3 linked regions of the Caenorhabditis elegans genome follow. The protein of the gene in region 2 interacts with the protein of the main gene of each other region in a pairwise test. Each region holds a gene or a part of one and is shown on either strand. Other genes may lie near its edges. The genes, in order: F09F7.5, phat-1 and oaz-1.

The links.
Region 1: the proteins of phat-1 (region 2) and F09F7.5 interact in a two-hybrid assay, tested with the Caenorhabditis elegans proteins (one large-scale study listed by BioGRID).
Region 3: the proteins of phat-1 (region 2) and oaz-1 interact in a two-hybrid assay, tested with the Caenorhabditis elegans proteins (one large-scale study listed by BioGRID).

The regions. Positions count from the first base shown.
Region 1 is NC_003281.10:5,545,142-5,551,837, forward strand, and holds F09F7.5 (CRIB domain-containing protein), read left to right. Parts: upstream 1-1,968; 5' UTR 1,969-1,990; coding exon 1,991-2,076; intron 2,077-3,031; coding exon 3,032-3,118; intron 3,119-3,172; coding exon 3,173-3,236; intron 3,237-3,284; coding exon 3,285-3,454; intron 3,455-3,606; coding exon 3,607-3,690; intron 3,691-3,737; coding exon 3,738-4,743; intron 4,744-5,159; coding exon 5,160-5,309; intron 5,310-5,867; coding exon 5,868-5,972; 3' UTR 5,973-6,074; downstream 6,075-6,696. Other genes in the region: putative kinase-like protein D1044.1, read left to right, coding at 317-511, 585-697, 839-1,085; F09F7.6 (Ferritin), read right to left, coding at 6,181-6,291.
Region 2 is NC_003279.8:5,043,604-5,047,666, forward strand, and holds phat-1 (ShKT domain-containing protein), read right to left. Parts: upstream 2,118-4,063; coding exon 2,042-2,117; intron 1,996-2,041; coding exon 1,921-1,995; intron 1,877-1,920; coding exon 1,463-1,876; intron 1,281-1,462; exon of another isoform or gene 1,137-1,280; intron 1,093-1,136; coding exon 913-1,092; intron 832-912; coding exon 692-831; 3' UTR 595-691; downstream 1-594. Other genes in the region: phat-2 (ShKT domain-containing protein), read right to left, coding at 2,875-3,011, 3,379-3,828, 3,871-3,951.
Region 3 is NC_003279.8:6,091,476-6,094,943, forward strand, and holds oaz-1 (Ornithine decarboxylase antizyme), read left to right. Parts: upstream 1-1,831; 5' UTR 1,832-1,870; coding exon 1,871-1,941; intron 1,942-1,992; coding exon 1,993-2,050; coding exon of another isoform or gene 2,051-2,241; intron 2,242-2,355; coding exon of another isoform or gene 2,356-2,516; 3' UTR 2,517-2,962; downstream 2,963-3,468. UniProt on the Caenorhabditis elegans protein: Ornithine decarboxylase (ODC) antizyme protein that negatively regulates ODC activity and intracellular polyamine biosynthesis and uptake in response to increased intracellular polyamine levels.

The sequences.
Region 1 (6,696 bases), on a different chromosome or scaffold from region 2:
TTGAGCGGTAGGGAGGCAGGCACGAGATATTCAAATAGGCCTGAAAATGTGCCTGTCTGCCAGTGAAGCCCTAGGTATAGTAAGAAATAAAAAAAAAAGAGTATATTGCAATCGATTGCAATCTGGGCACATCTTTTCAAATTTCGAATTTAAAATTGGGCACATCTCTTTGATGGCCGCGAAAATTGGTGGCCGAATATTTTTGGAACTTATTGGAAATTGACTTTTCACAACAACCCGTAAATATGGTGTATGGTGTTTTGCTTACCTGAAAACCAGAGCGGCTCTTTCTCACGCTTCAGAATCAAAATTCCAGCACAACGACACCCTTGATTTTGAAAAGTTATGCCCGGCGGAGCTCTCCGGAAGAATTCAAGAAGTTAAGCATGCTTTTGATGAAGATGGAGTTAGAAATTCCGAAAAGAAAAACGAAAAACTTGGAATGCCATTGGTGATATGTCATAATGATTTGAACGCGTCAAATGTTCTATGGAATAATGAAACTGGAAAGGTAGAGTTGTCCAAGAGGACTACGTGTCATAGAATATAAAATTACTCCTAATAATAAAATTGAATAATTTCAGATCCAGGCATTTATCGATTTCCAGCACGTGTCAAAGGGTCCCGTCTCCTTTGATATTATTCGTATTTTGTGCCTTGGATTGTCAGTGGAAAATCGAAGAGCAAATACTCAAAGGTATCTTTTTCTAAGTCTAAACATTTTCAATAACCGAAAGAAGTAAAAATTGAAATGGCCCGCTTTTTGGCCGAGATTTGAAAATCGGGTTCGGAGATATAAAACACATTTCAAAACAAAGAGTCAGTTTCCATTTTCCAGATACCTGAACCACTACTATACGACCTTCAAATCTCATTTTTCCACGGCTCCCTTCACTTTCTCCCAACTCGAAGAATCCTATCGAACTCACTTCAATTTTGTGAATGCCACGTCACTATTCAGTCTGTCGTATTACTACAAAATGTATAAGGATGAGAGTTTGGATTTGAAAAGTGGAGCTGACGAAAGGGAACACAAAGCTCAGGAGATTTTGAGACGGACTATCGGAATTTTGGATGATATGTAATAGAAGAATATTTTTTAAAGATTTTTATATTATACATTAAAACAAATAAACTACTACTAATATTTGGAATTTTTTAAATTTTGATGATGAACAAAGTTGCTTAAAACATTATTTCAAATATGACAACACATTTTAAATTCTTTACGAAACAAAAATAATCCTAGTAAATCTTCGGTAATACATTAAAAACATCAAAGGTTTCGTAAATCAATGTTAAACAAATTGCGAAATATCGTCCGACTTGCAGTCAAACACTAGAGTATACATATACATAATACCCTTCCGTAACCCGGTTTTTAGCCTCAAGAGATTACTCATCAGATCGACACATGTTTTCTTTTTTCACTTCAACATGCTGCGTCTCTTGTCAATTTGATCTGAGTAATCTATGGGAGATCAGCAAGAACAATTTGCTATTTGCTAGAAATTGATAACACTTTTTGAAATATTTGAAAGGTAGTTTCTATGCTAGATTTTTCTATGTTAATCTGAATTTTAACATTTTTCAATTGATTTTATGCAGTACCTGAAAGTGGTCAAAATTTTGGAGCCATCGAACGACGCTTCAATATTCCGCCATGCTACAAAACTCAAGATTCCTTACAAGCGTCTTTGGGCGGAGCTTGAGCACGGGTGTCATTGGAGCTTCAAACTTCTTGGCTTCCAATTCCAAATGAATCATTCTTTCAACACATCACCTCCTTCTCAATAATTCCTTATCACTACTCTTTTTCCAACTGCTTACACGTTTTTATCGGTTATTTCTCTATTCCCCTTTCTCTCTCAGTTACTCCGGGTGTCTGTTCTCCACAGTTTTTGCAACAACTTGCGTGGTTTGACCATTGATTTTTTTTGCCTCTTGTTACTTTATTCTTGATTTAAGACAGGAACCGGGTTTATGGAAAATGCCCAACGACTTGCCGTTGCTGCCTCCGAAGAATCAGCACAAACACTTGGATAAAACTATGATCTCACTGCCGTCGGATTTCAGGTAAGGAATAAAAGTTGAGGATGTTATGTTAATCCGTACATTCGAATTGGAATGTATCTGCAAATTCGTTCTTGAAGAACATTAGTAGGTTAGCTTCAAGCGGGATTATGACATGTCGACGTTTTAGGCCCGAGAAAGAAGCGGAGTTCTTGCACTCTCCCCTCCCCCACACTCTCTAACCAACCCATTTTTACAGTGTAATAACTTTCATCAAGATTTAGCCAATAGCTGATTGATTGTGCTGATTGTGCTTTTTTTAATTGATATAACATTTAGAAATGAGGAACATTTAGAAACATGAACAGTTTATTCAAAAATATTAGGCTTACAACACTCTACACTTATCTCATTACAACATTCTTTTATTATCATATTGACATCCATAGACTGAAATTCCAAGTTTTAGAAATCAGAAACCTTGGAAACAAAACTTACCATTTTGCTAGGTAATTTAGCTGACACAGCTGGAACCGCCAACAATTCAGTCATGAAAATAATCAGTGATAGAAACAATAATGCAAAACTAGCATACATGTCAACTATGAATATTAAGTTTAAAATTGTTATGTAGTACCTAATCACACGTGGACTAGCAACAATTGATAAAACATTGTTATATATTATAGGTACCAAGCGTTAAATCTTACACTATGGGCTATTGTCGTAAAAAATAAAATAAAATAATACAAATCACGTTACCTGAAATTTTTTAAATTCTCAATTTTTTCGCAATTCGCCATTTTAATTGTTTAAAAAGATATGAGAGGAGGAGAGTTAAGACACTCAGCTTCTCTGTACTCTCCCGTGCCTCCATACGTCTAAAACTTACAATTTTCATACGAATTAGTTTCTTACAATTAGTAGATTCGGAGACGAATTAGTTACATTCGTATTAGTTTTACTCATTGTGTTTTAGGTTTTAAACAATCTATCATAGTCAATTTTTATATTACAGGCATTTGGCTCATGTCGGTCCAATGGGATCATCGGAAATTGAAAATCTTCGGACGAGCGATAATGTGATTGATACGGTTAATGAAAGGTTTGTGATCTACAAGCATTACTTGAATTCAATGTGGATGAATAAAGAATTCAGCAGCTACTACATAAGACCCTCCTCGTCGAATAGTACACTCCGATCGCAGAGAAAAGAAAAAGATGTAGGGAACTATTTAATTACTTTTCTCCAAAAAAGTTCAACTTTTCAGAGAGTTGGACTAGATGATGCTTTCCCATCAGCTTCAAAAAGTGAAGAAGAGGTTGAAGTTGTCAGAGGTTACGAGAATCAACCAACATCCCACCAATACATAAATATTGCTCCACCACGTCCGAGCAAGAAAAATTATAAGGCTCCAGCTCCCCCTACTCCTCCTCCACAGTGAGTATTTGTATGACATTTTCTAACAACACAGTTTTTGAATTAGTTTTTTACCTCAATTCCAAGAAGTACTTCCTTTAGAATTAAGTTTCTTACTGGCGCTTTCAAATTTGACAACTGAATCAAAAGTTGGTTGAGAATTAAACTTTCAGGAACAGCAAGCCGAATTTGATCTTCAACGCCCAAGACGACGAGGAGGAAACATCAGAAATCTCAGAGCAACCTGTAGTTTTTCGGTATTTCTTGATTGGACCCTGAAGTTTAAAAATTTTTCAATTTTCAGGTCAATCTCCCACACTTCGAATATCTCAACACACATAGCTCCACCTCCAAAAATCCAAACCGCCGACCGAATCGTTGCACCGAAGCCTAACTCTCTGGTGATCGAAAGACCGGGTGATCTTGGTGGTGCTTTTAGTTTCGGTCTCGATGATTGCATTCCAATTGTTAAAAGTACACCACCTCTCAATACACTTTCTCCGTTGCATCGGCCTTTGGCAATCCCGAAGAATCAGGAGGAGACACCGATATTGAGTCCGGCGAGTCCGCCGGATGACTCGAATTATATGTCAACTATTCGGAGCACATCCGTTCAAGGGAGAAAGATCTTGGATGAGCTTGACGATTGGTTGGATGACCTGGATGATCTCGATAGGGATCAATTATCCACAATCAGTACTGACGAATCGGGTTATCCGACGCTTGCACTAGAAAAAGATCGGGCTTTTATGAAGCATTTGGTGGAGAAGTATGAGTTGGGGGTAGCTCCAGAGACAATTAGACTTCGGAAGAAAAAAGGACCGGCTCCAAAAGCTCCAAGCCTCCCTCCAGACCTCTCCTCTCCAACATTCCAAGCTCCAGGATTTATTCCTGCGTTCTCCGCTCGGCCTGTGAGTATGCCTCCCAACCGACCACCTCCCTCATATGAAGCTCCAAGCTTTGATGCTCCCGAAGCTCCTGGTACAGTATTAATCAATGGAAGAGCCTTGACAAAGCAAAATGCGCTAGACCTCCGCTCAAGTGACGAAAGTGGAGTACCTCCTGCAATTGCCAGGTTCTTATATGATAAGAGGATCAAGTCAGCAACAATGCCAATGTCCATCGGAAGAATGACGTCTTCATCTGGGAACACGGATGTTTCCACTACCTCGTCAAGATCAAATGCAGATACTGTGTCAAGTATTCTGTCGACGGTTGGGGAGGATGATGATGTGGAAGTTCTGAAAAGGGATCGGGAAGTTGAAGAAGAGTTTGTACCGCCCGTGCCAAAGCCGAGGAGCAGAAAGACGGTAAGCTTTCTTGTGTGATCCACAAGATCAGTTATGTAGGTGCAACATTAAGAGAGGAATTACGGAATTAAAGTATTACTTTCAACTTTTGAATCATATTTCTGACCATTTGATGAGTCACCATAAAATAGATATTTGTGAATCTGAATGAGAGGGGGGGGGGGCAAAAGTTTCAAGAACGGGTGCTCCTGAACCTAAACGATATTTGCTCCAATTACTTGGATCTAGTCGTACTCACGATTTTCACAGTTATTCTCACATTTTCGAAAGCAAATCAGTTCCGCTACCCTTTGACCTGATTCTATAATTTATTCTCTCCCCTCTAGAACAAATATAAATCTATTTAAATGAAACCGATACAAACATCAAAAAGTCAACAATCACCAATGTTCTTCTTCATTTGTTTTTCTTCGCAGGTCTCAACGGAACCGTTAAAAGAAGAAGAAGAAGAAAATGTCGAAGAGGAGATAAAGGGCGAAAACGTGATTGGGGAGGAGTTTCAAGTGGTGGGAGATACAAAAATAAATGATGAACAAGAAGATCGGGTGGAAGCGACAAAAGACAAGGTAACTAGTAGTGATAAAAGATCAATCGCCAAGATAAGCTTATTGGAATTTGAAATAGTTTGCTAATTACCCCTAGTTTCCAATTTTTCCGAGAAAGTACTTTTGTTGATTGGAACTGCCATTCATAGGATCACAAGGTGATCGAAAACAAAAAGAAGCAGCTGACTACTTGCGAATTTCCAGTAGAAATAGATTTAGAGAAGCAAGAAATTCGAGAAATTCTTTAGACAAAATTTTTCTTTGGAATGGTGGGTCATGGGTCCGCACGTACCCAAGTTTCTCTCTGAGACTGAGCAAAATGTATAAGTGGGCTCTCAATACAATTTTCTGTCATAGGTACGTGCAGACATTTTTAAGCAAACGATCGATCAAACCAAGTAATGAGCAAAAATAGTGCTAATAGGTTAAGATTTCCTACGAGGCAGGTTGCATACCCTAGCAGATATTTCTAAATAGATTTTGTACCAAATATCATTAACTGGGGAGCCTTCAGTAGTTGTCCTATTTCCTGGCACTTGTTAATTTTCAAAAAATTATTCAAATTCCCACTATTTTCAGATTAATGACGCTTTCATCATGCTTCCACCACCTTCAGCAGCCGCAATGATCCCATCAGATTCAGAATCCGAAGACGACGATAATTTCATTATTACTCGATTTTAAATTATTTGTTTTACTTAAATTCTTAACTAAACTCTAGTCAATTGTCTCTCTACATTCCAGTGCCAAACCACCATTCCATTAAAAATAAATTTCTCAAATAAAACCGATTCGATTTGCGAAAAAAGCAATATATTTTATTTTCATTTCTTCACAGCACAAAAAATAACAATTTGGAAGGTATGTACAGAATCCGTTTCGATCAAACGCGTCAATGGGAGGTTTCAAGCAACTTTTTCAGATGCTCCTCGGCGGCTTCCAGATCATCACGGAGATAACGGAGTTTTGCAGGGGTCACAAATTCCTCGTTGTATACGTTTTTCTGGAAAAGTAAAAGGGTTTAAAGGGTGGAATGGGATAATCTTTTGTGGCCTACACTATCTTTTTTAAGTTGTTAACTGATCTACAATCTCGAAAATTCCCCGTAAAACTGCAATTTTTGAGTAATATGTTCAGTTACAGCCTTTTGGAAACTCAAAATCCTAGTGCTTTGTCATTTGAATTTTGCATTTTGTCCAGCGTACAGAATAGTTTTTGCTAAGTAGTCGAGAAATTTTATAATTTGACGTTTCAGAGAAATTGAAAACTATTTTTTTCCGAAAACGGGCTTAACTATTGCAATTTTTTAAATTTGAGGTTGTGGAATAAAGTACTGTTTCCATCGCAACATAATTTGCGCGTAAAACATGGTGCATCGGGTCCGTGAATTGAAAAAGGAAAATTTTGT
Region 2 (4,063 bases):
AAAACCACCTTCCCTTTTGAAAAACTTTTGAGAGCACGGCAAAGGCAAATTATTTTTTGCGATAATGTAAAAGTACAATACAGACTAACTTAAGTGAGTGTAACACAGGATTGAGTCAGTCAGCGATAATTTTTTTCAAAACATCATCAGAGTTTCTTTTTAATTAGAACGCTTTTCGTTTTCATAGTTTTTTTTTTAATTTCCTGTATTTTCCGAACATCAATAATTTTTACAGGCGCTGATAAAGTAATTAATTTGTGGGAGCAAAATAGACGTATAGGTACTCCAATGGGTGCTTCATTTCATTTTTAATAAGTTTTTAAATTTTTAAATTATAAATTTAATTTTTTTTAAAGTTCTAGTATGTAAGTCAGACTTTTGTATAAAAAAACAATCATTATAAGGTGAAACTCAACGAAAAATTATTGACGCCAGATTCATTTAAAGTTGTCCAAAAAAGTTTTAATTATTAATTCAATGAAACAAAATAAAAATTGGATATGTTTTCAGAATGTTTGAAAATGAAAAAATAAATATTTTATTACATTTAAAACATTGAGATGTTTTGTTTTGAAATCGAACTTTCTCAAAATCTAAATTATTTAAATTATTTTATTTACTTTAGAATCATAAATCACAAAAACCAGACGGTGCATAAATTAGAGATAAATTATTTCCACAAACACAAAAATTATCCAGCAGTACAGAATCCGCAGGTAAGTGGACATTGGGTACGCATAAGGGAAATGTAAGCGGAGTTGGTACAAAAAGCACGACGATTTGGACAATCGGAAGTTCCTGTAGCGGCGTTGACTTGGTCGACACAAGTGGCTGAAGAGGTTTAAGTATCTTAGTTGTCGTATCACAAACAGTAGAATCAATCAGCTATAATTCTTCAGAAATAAAACTTACATGAAACAGTAGTAGAAGCTGATGACGTGGCAGAGATAGTTGAGCTTGATGTGCATCTTCCACAAGTTCTTGGGCATTGGGTGGTCATGATGTCATAGTAGACTGAGTTGTTGCAAAGAGAAGCACGAGCTGGGCAATCGGAAACTCCAGTTGTTGGATTGACACGATCAGCACAGGTGGCTGAAATTTCCTCAGTTAGTGCAAACGAAAATATAAGAAAAGCTAAGGCAAACAAAGCAAGCATATTAGACAGAAGCAGGTAAAAAAAGCTACAGCTGATCAGCGAAGCAAGAGGCAACTGCCACCTACTGGAATAGCTAGAAGTACTATTTGTGGAGCATCTTCCACAAGTTACCGGACACTGGACTGTCATAAGATTGTAATAAGCTGCGTTATTACAAAGTGCGGCACGAGCCGGACAATCAGATCTCCCGGTGGATGGGTTAGAACGATCGGCACATGTGGTGCCTGGAAATTTAAATTGTTGTCCTCTGTTTCAAGAAATCTAACTCTAATTAAAGAATCACGTTCCAGTTTTCAGCGAACTTACTGGACGATGAAGTAGTCGAAGAAGAAGTGGAGCATCTTCCGCAAGTTCTTGGGCATTGAGTGGTCATGAGTGTGTAGTAGTTGGAGTCGTTGCACAAAGCAGCACGAGCTGGACAATCGGAAACTCCGGTGGATGGATTAACACGATCAACACAGCTAGTAGAGCTTGTTGAAGTAGAATTACAGCGACCGCATGTTCTTGGGCACTGCTGGGTCATGACTGTGTAGTAGGTCGAGTCGTTGCAAAGGTAGGCAAGAGCTGAACAATCAGAGACTCCGGTAGATGGATTGACACGATCAGCACACGTTGTCGTGGAGGTAGAAGTTACTGTAACTGATGATGCAGTTGTGGTTACTGTAGATCCATCGGAATCGGTCACAACAGCAGCAGTGGTTGAAGTAACAGCGGCAGCAGCTAGAATTTCAAAGGTCGCTGTTGAAAGAATCTGTTTCACTTACTGGTAATAGGACAGCATTGACCAGCTGCCACGTCACAGACCTGTGTCTGGCACACAAGAATGCCACCGTCACACGCTGAAATAAAGTATTTATTCTAAATGCGATTACAGTTGTTACTTACGTCCTTCAGATTCAGAAGCTTCACAAGCAAATGCAACCGAGAATATGGCAAATGAAATAATGAATTGACGGAACATGATAGAATGATGGTTATAGTTCTGCAGCAGTTGCTTTTATATTGTGAGATACTGTCCATCTGTTCAAACAATTAACGTTGACCATTGTGCTATAAGTCTTTGAAATTGAAATAATGTGATCAAGAAGTTTAGATACCGTTCGTGATGGAAGTTTATGACGAAATAGCTAAAAAGTATCGCTTGTGGCAAATGTTTCAACAAAAGAGTGCTGAAATTATTAAATTTAAATTACATATATTTTGACGTAGAATGTGTATCTCGGGTCTGCAGTGATCGATTTTTTGCTGAAAATGCCGTCAAAATAATTATGCAAATAACGGCTATTATGACAGTTTTACAAGCTTGCAAAAACCCCAGAATACAACTTTAGATTGTAGGAGTTGAGCTTAACTTTTTGAGATAATCTAGTAGAAAAATTGGATTTTCAAAAAGAGTCTGTAAGTAACGTTTCTTTGTAAGTTTTTCAAGTAAAAGTTTTTTAAAGTTTTATTTCTTGTCTATCTGTTTTTATCGCAATATTCCATATTTTACAGTGGCTATCCACGAGCTAAAGGCTGTTCAAACATTTCAGCTCTGTTTCAAAAATAACAAAATTTTCGCAGAACAATGCGCGCATTGTTTTTATATTGGTACAACCAACCGGCGTTTCGGATACTATTTGAACACATTTCTTCCCGACTCGCAGCGTTTTATTATAAATTAAAATGAATTGGACACATTATTACACAATTATTACTAATCGTGATGGCGAAACAAATTATCCGGATGTACAGAATCCGCAGGTTCTTGGACATTGAGCACGCATGACGGATTGGTAGGCTGAGTTGTTGCAAAGACCAATGTTGGATGCACAATCAGATCTTCCGGTGGCTGGGTTGACTCTGTCGACACATGCTGGAAGATTTTCAAGATTGGTTTTAGAAAGTAACGAATGCTTGTGTTATTGTTGAAAATCTATGGCCGTACATTTTTTAGATAATACAGTAGATTGTTTTACCTTAGAATCGGATGTTTCAGATTTTTTTGGACAGTTGTTTTCTCTTTTTTTAAATAAACAAGTAGTTAGTTTCGTCTAAAGTTGGGGAAAGGTTGGCTGGTAGTTTTGAGTCATTAAAAACTCGGACTTTTTATTTGTGATATTTGGCCATGTTGCAATTAATATGAAAATATTTGTACAACTAAATTTTGCTTAAATTTAATACTAAATCAAGCTCCAACCGTTAAAATCAGTTTTAACACTTTTATAATTTTTCCCACTTACTTCCGGAAGAAACAGTTGCGCTGGATCTAGTGGTAGAAGATGAACCGGAACTTCCACAGAATCCACAAGTTCTTGGGCATTGAGTTCTCATCAGATCAATGTAGTTGGAATCATTACAGAAAGAACGCAGGCTTGCGCAGTCCGAAGTTCCCGTCTTTGGGTTCTTCAAGTCAGTGCATGTACCAGTTGTAGGTGTGCTAGAGAATGATGAGCATCTTCCGCAAGTCTTTGGACATTGTTGAGTCATGACGTCAAAGTAGTTGGCATCGTTGCAGAGAGCTCTTCTATTAGCACAATCAGAAGTTCCTGTAGCTGAATTGACACGATCAACGCATCCTGTTCCAGATGAAGTGCGGGAAGTGACAGTGGATCCACTACGGATAGTCGTGGCAACAGTCACAGTGGATCCCGAAGCGTCGGTGACAACGTTAGATGGAACCACAGTGGTGACTGAAAAGGGAAATTTAAAATTTACTGATTCCAGAGACTTACTGAGATCCGCATTGAGACAGCAACTTAAAAGAGTAAGATCACAAGTAGATCCAGTTTCACAAGGCAAACCAACATCGCATGCTGAAAAAATGTTTGGATTAAAGAATCGAATTTGAGCGCGAAAAAAGTGTTACTCGACCAATGACATTAAGGCGTGGTCAACGTCATTGATTGGTCAAAAGTTTCAAAAATC
Region 3 (3,468 bases), 1.0 Mb from region 2:
CATTGATAAGAACATTTCGGAGTTGGTAACATATCCCTTCTCTTCACGTTAAGACAACTTTCAAGATAAATATTTCAAATCCGTGACCATTCCCAATTCTTTGCTCTTTTCCCCTTGGAATTCGCCCTCCGAACAGCTGTGAAAACCAAAAACACGAACTTGACGCTGTTGAGATGTTTTTCGTCGTCTCGGTCACACAATCTGCGTCTCTGGCCTCAACCGCCGCCGCCTTCCGTCAATCAATGAAAAGCAAAGATAGATTGTATAAAGTTGAGAGATTCAGAGAAATTGCTGCTTCTCTGTTCTCTCCGTCAGCGCTTAAAAGCAGTGAAACGTGCCAATAGTTCTCCTTGATAACGACTCCCTTTTCTGGTTTTCTCTGTATCATTAGTACTTGAAAAGAAAGGAACTACGTACTCAATCTTTGATAATTGGTTGGTATACTGTCGTAATTTGTTGAATGATTTCGTAATAATTTAATTTTTATTTCTGGTTTCTGGTTTCTCTTAAAACTTACTCAAATCATTAATATTCCTATGCTCACATAAACTTAAAAGTTTTTCTTATCTGATCACAATCTAAATTAGGTCTGCAAATCATCTATCGAAAATCAATAATTATTTCGCAATAAAATAGGCGAAGAGCAAGTCTTATGACACTGTTATCTTTCCGGGAACATTCTCGGTCCACAATAGATAAGGCATCCAAATCATTCGATTCACTGTTTACACGTCGATCGATCTTGTTCTCCTTCTTCTCTATCTTCACTGTTTCACCTTCATTTTGCCTCAATAAGCTGTAGTGAAGTCATATGATTTTCTATTCTTTGTTGTCGAAATCGATTTTAATATAGAGTAGTTTCTAGTTTTACATTACTAAATCCACTCATTGATTCTATTGATCTCTCCTTTTTTAGGCGCAAATGTTTTGATTAATAATTACTTTCGATATCACAAGGCGCTGTTTGTCTGGTAATATTATGTTAGCTCCAGTTCTGATTAAAAATTTCCGTTAGAAAAAAGGTATTTTCGGAAAAGTATCCTAATGGCGTGAGTATACCAATTATTTGTATCATGGCAATTGAGCAGAACTGATAATCGAGTCCCACAGGGTTTACGATTTCTATTTGGATCTGATTTTGAAATGTGCAATAAGAAATAATCATCCCTACTTTCACTTTTGTAACGACCCATTTCGTCATTACCATATGACTTTCAAAGATCTGCGATGTGCACGTCACATATATTCATTCAAAATGGCGCCAGCAAGCCATTGAGCCAGAAAGAGCGTTTCTCTGTCGTCTCGCAATCTTTATGTCCCTCTGTTCCTCCGCCTCGCACTTCATTTATCGCCTGGTCACATGCTTCTTTGTGTTCACTCAATGTTCGTTCTGTATGTCTTGTGACAATTTACTTTAGAGGTTAATAACACAGAAATATAAGACAGTTCATTACTATGTCTGTTCTATAGATCTTCTTTGACATCAATACAACATTTTACGCTTTTAAGAATCAAAAGCCTCTAATTTCTATTTAAAAGCCACGAAGTAAATCAAATAATTGAACGAATCAAAAATCTCTTCTGACATGCTTTAATCTTTGGCATAAACTAATCGAATTATTCTAATTTATTTCTAGCATATTTGATTATAGGACACCGTAAATGTTGAGATTGGTTAAAATCAATTTTTAAACATCTGGGATACGAATCAGTTCTCTGGAATAATTTCTGATCACCACAACTATATTAATTTGTATTTCCGTTATGCTTCCTCGCCCTCGCCCACTCGTTCACTTTGCTTTTAAATCGATCTAATTCTTCTTAATTTCAGTTTCCCACCACCCGCTTCGTACCTATCAAGAGAGACAAGATGTCGAGTATTTTGAGTAGTAATTTTACGAATAAATCGAATCAATTGGTCAACGAGTCTGCCGTCGACAGGTGAGAATACAATGTGAAGGCAGTTTAAACAATAATATTTCGATTTTTCAGCTCGTTGACCGCCTCCCCATGCTCGACCCAGCCCGGCGACGTCGGATGGTGTTTTTGACGCCCCCCATGGCGTGCTCACCAAATTGCCGAACGAAACTCGCGCTATCGTATCGGCCGTTTCTCCAAACTGGCGCGTGACATCGATTGGCGAAAAGACATTGGCGATCATGATTCCACACGATCAACCGGTGCTCGGCATCTCTAAGAAGAACTTTGTGGACCTCTTGGAGTTCGCTGAAGACAAACTCGGTGAGTTCTATTTCAACCATTTCTAGATTTTCTACAAAGTTGTGTTTTTAAACGGAGAAATCCTGTTAAAAAGTTATATTCCCTGAGAAATGTTTGTAAACTTTTTTATTACAGAAATGGAGCGTGTTTTGGCTGTATTTGAGAAGGCTCGTATTAACCCAACGGAAGGATTCCCACGTACTCTTCGTTACGTCGGATTCCGTCCATATGCCATCGACGAGCATCCAGTTCATCTCCCAGCTGAAAAATACTTCATCATGAGCTACAAGGTCTAATGGATTCATCTCACCAATTTCTTTTCGTTTTATCGATTTCTCGCCGCTTTTAAAAATGTTATTTTTCTTTCTCTCACCTTTTTCTATACCAACCCCTCGAAAAAATGCACTTTAAAAACTTTCAAAAAATTTCCTCCTTCAAGAATTCTCTAGTATAATTCTCTAAATCTCTGTGTTCATGTAGTGTACAAATTCTTTAATTTTCCAGAAAAAATCCTTTTTGGCTATTTCTCTGATTATTTTTGCCCACCACACCCACTCCCATCCACAACCAGCTCATTCCTGTTTCTAAGAGATATTAGTGACCGATGCTTCCTGAGAAATTCTCTTTTTTTTAAAACATTCTTTAAATTAATCCCTCCTTTCCCACCACTTTTCTGTCCACGCGCCAGCTTTTTTGGAGAAACGAATAAATTGTCAAAAAAAAAACGATTTTGTAGAGAAATGTTCAAAATGCTCCGCCCATCATGAATTGGGTATCGTTAGGTCGATTACGCAAATGCGAAATTTTGAGACTATCTTACAAAAGTACGAAGCAAAAATACACTAGCGGGTCTCGACATGATCAATTTTCTTAAATTTGAAAGTGTGCGCCTTTAAGGAGTACTGTACGTGCAAGCTTAGGTTGCTCCGGAATTTTCATATTTTTTCCATAGTTTTGCTATACTATCAATTTATCAACAAAAAAAAACTATTTTTAGAAAAAGCTTGGAAGCATGAGAAAAACTATAATCAATGAAAATTAGGCAGAAACGAGAGTTTGATAATACAGTACTCTTTAAAGGCGCACACTCTTACATTTAATAACAAACAATTTTTGCGTCTGGGAATACCACTAGACCAGCATGGTAAAATAAAATATCGCAAAACAAAAAAAAGTTAGCGATTTTTTTGTGTTTTAGAAAAATCAGCCTGGTGAAACTCTCTGTTTGAGTTTCGAGACGAGAACTTC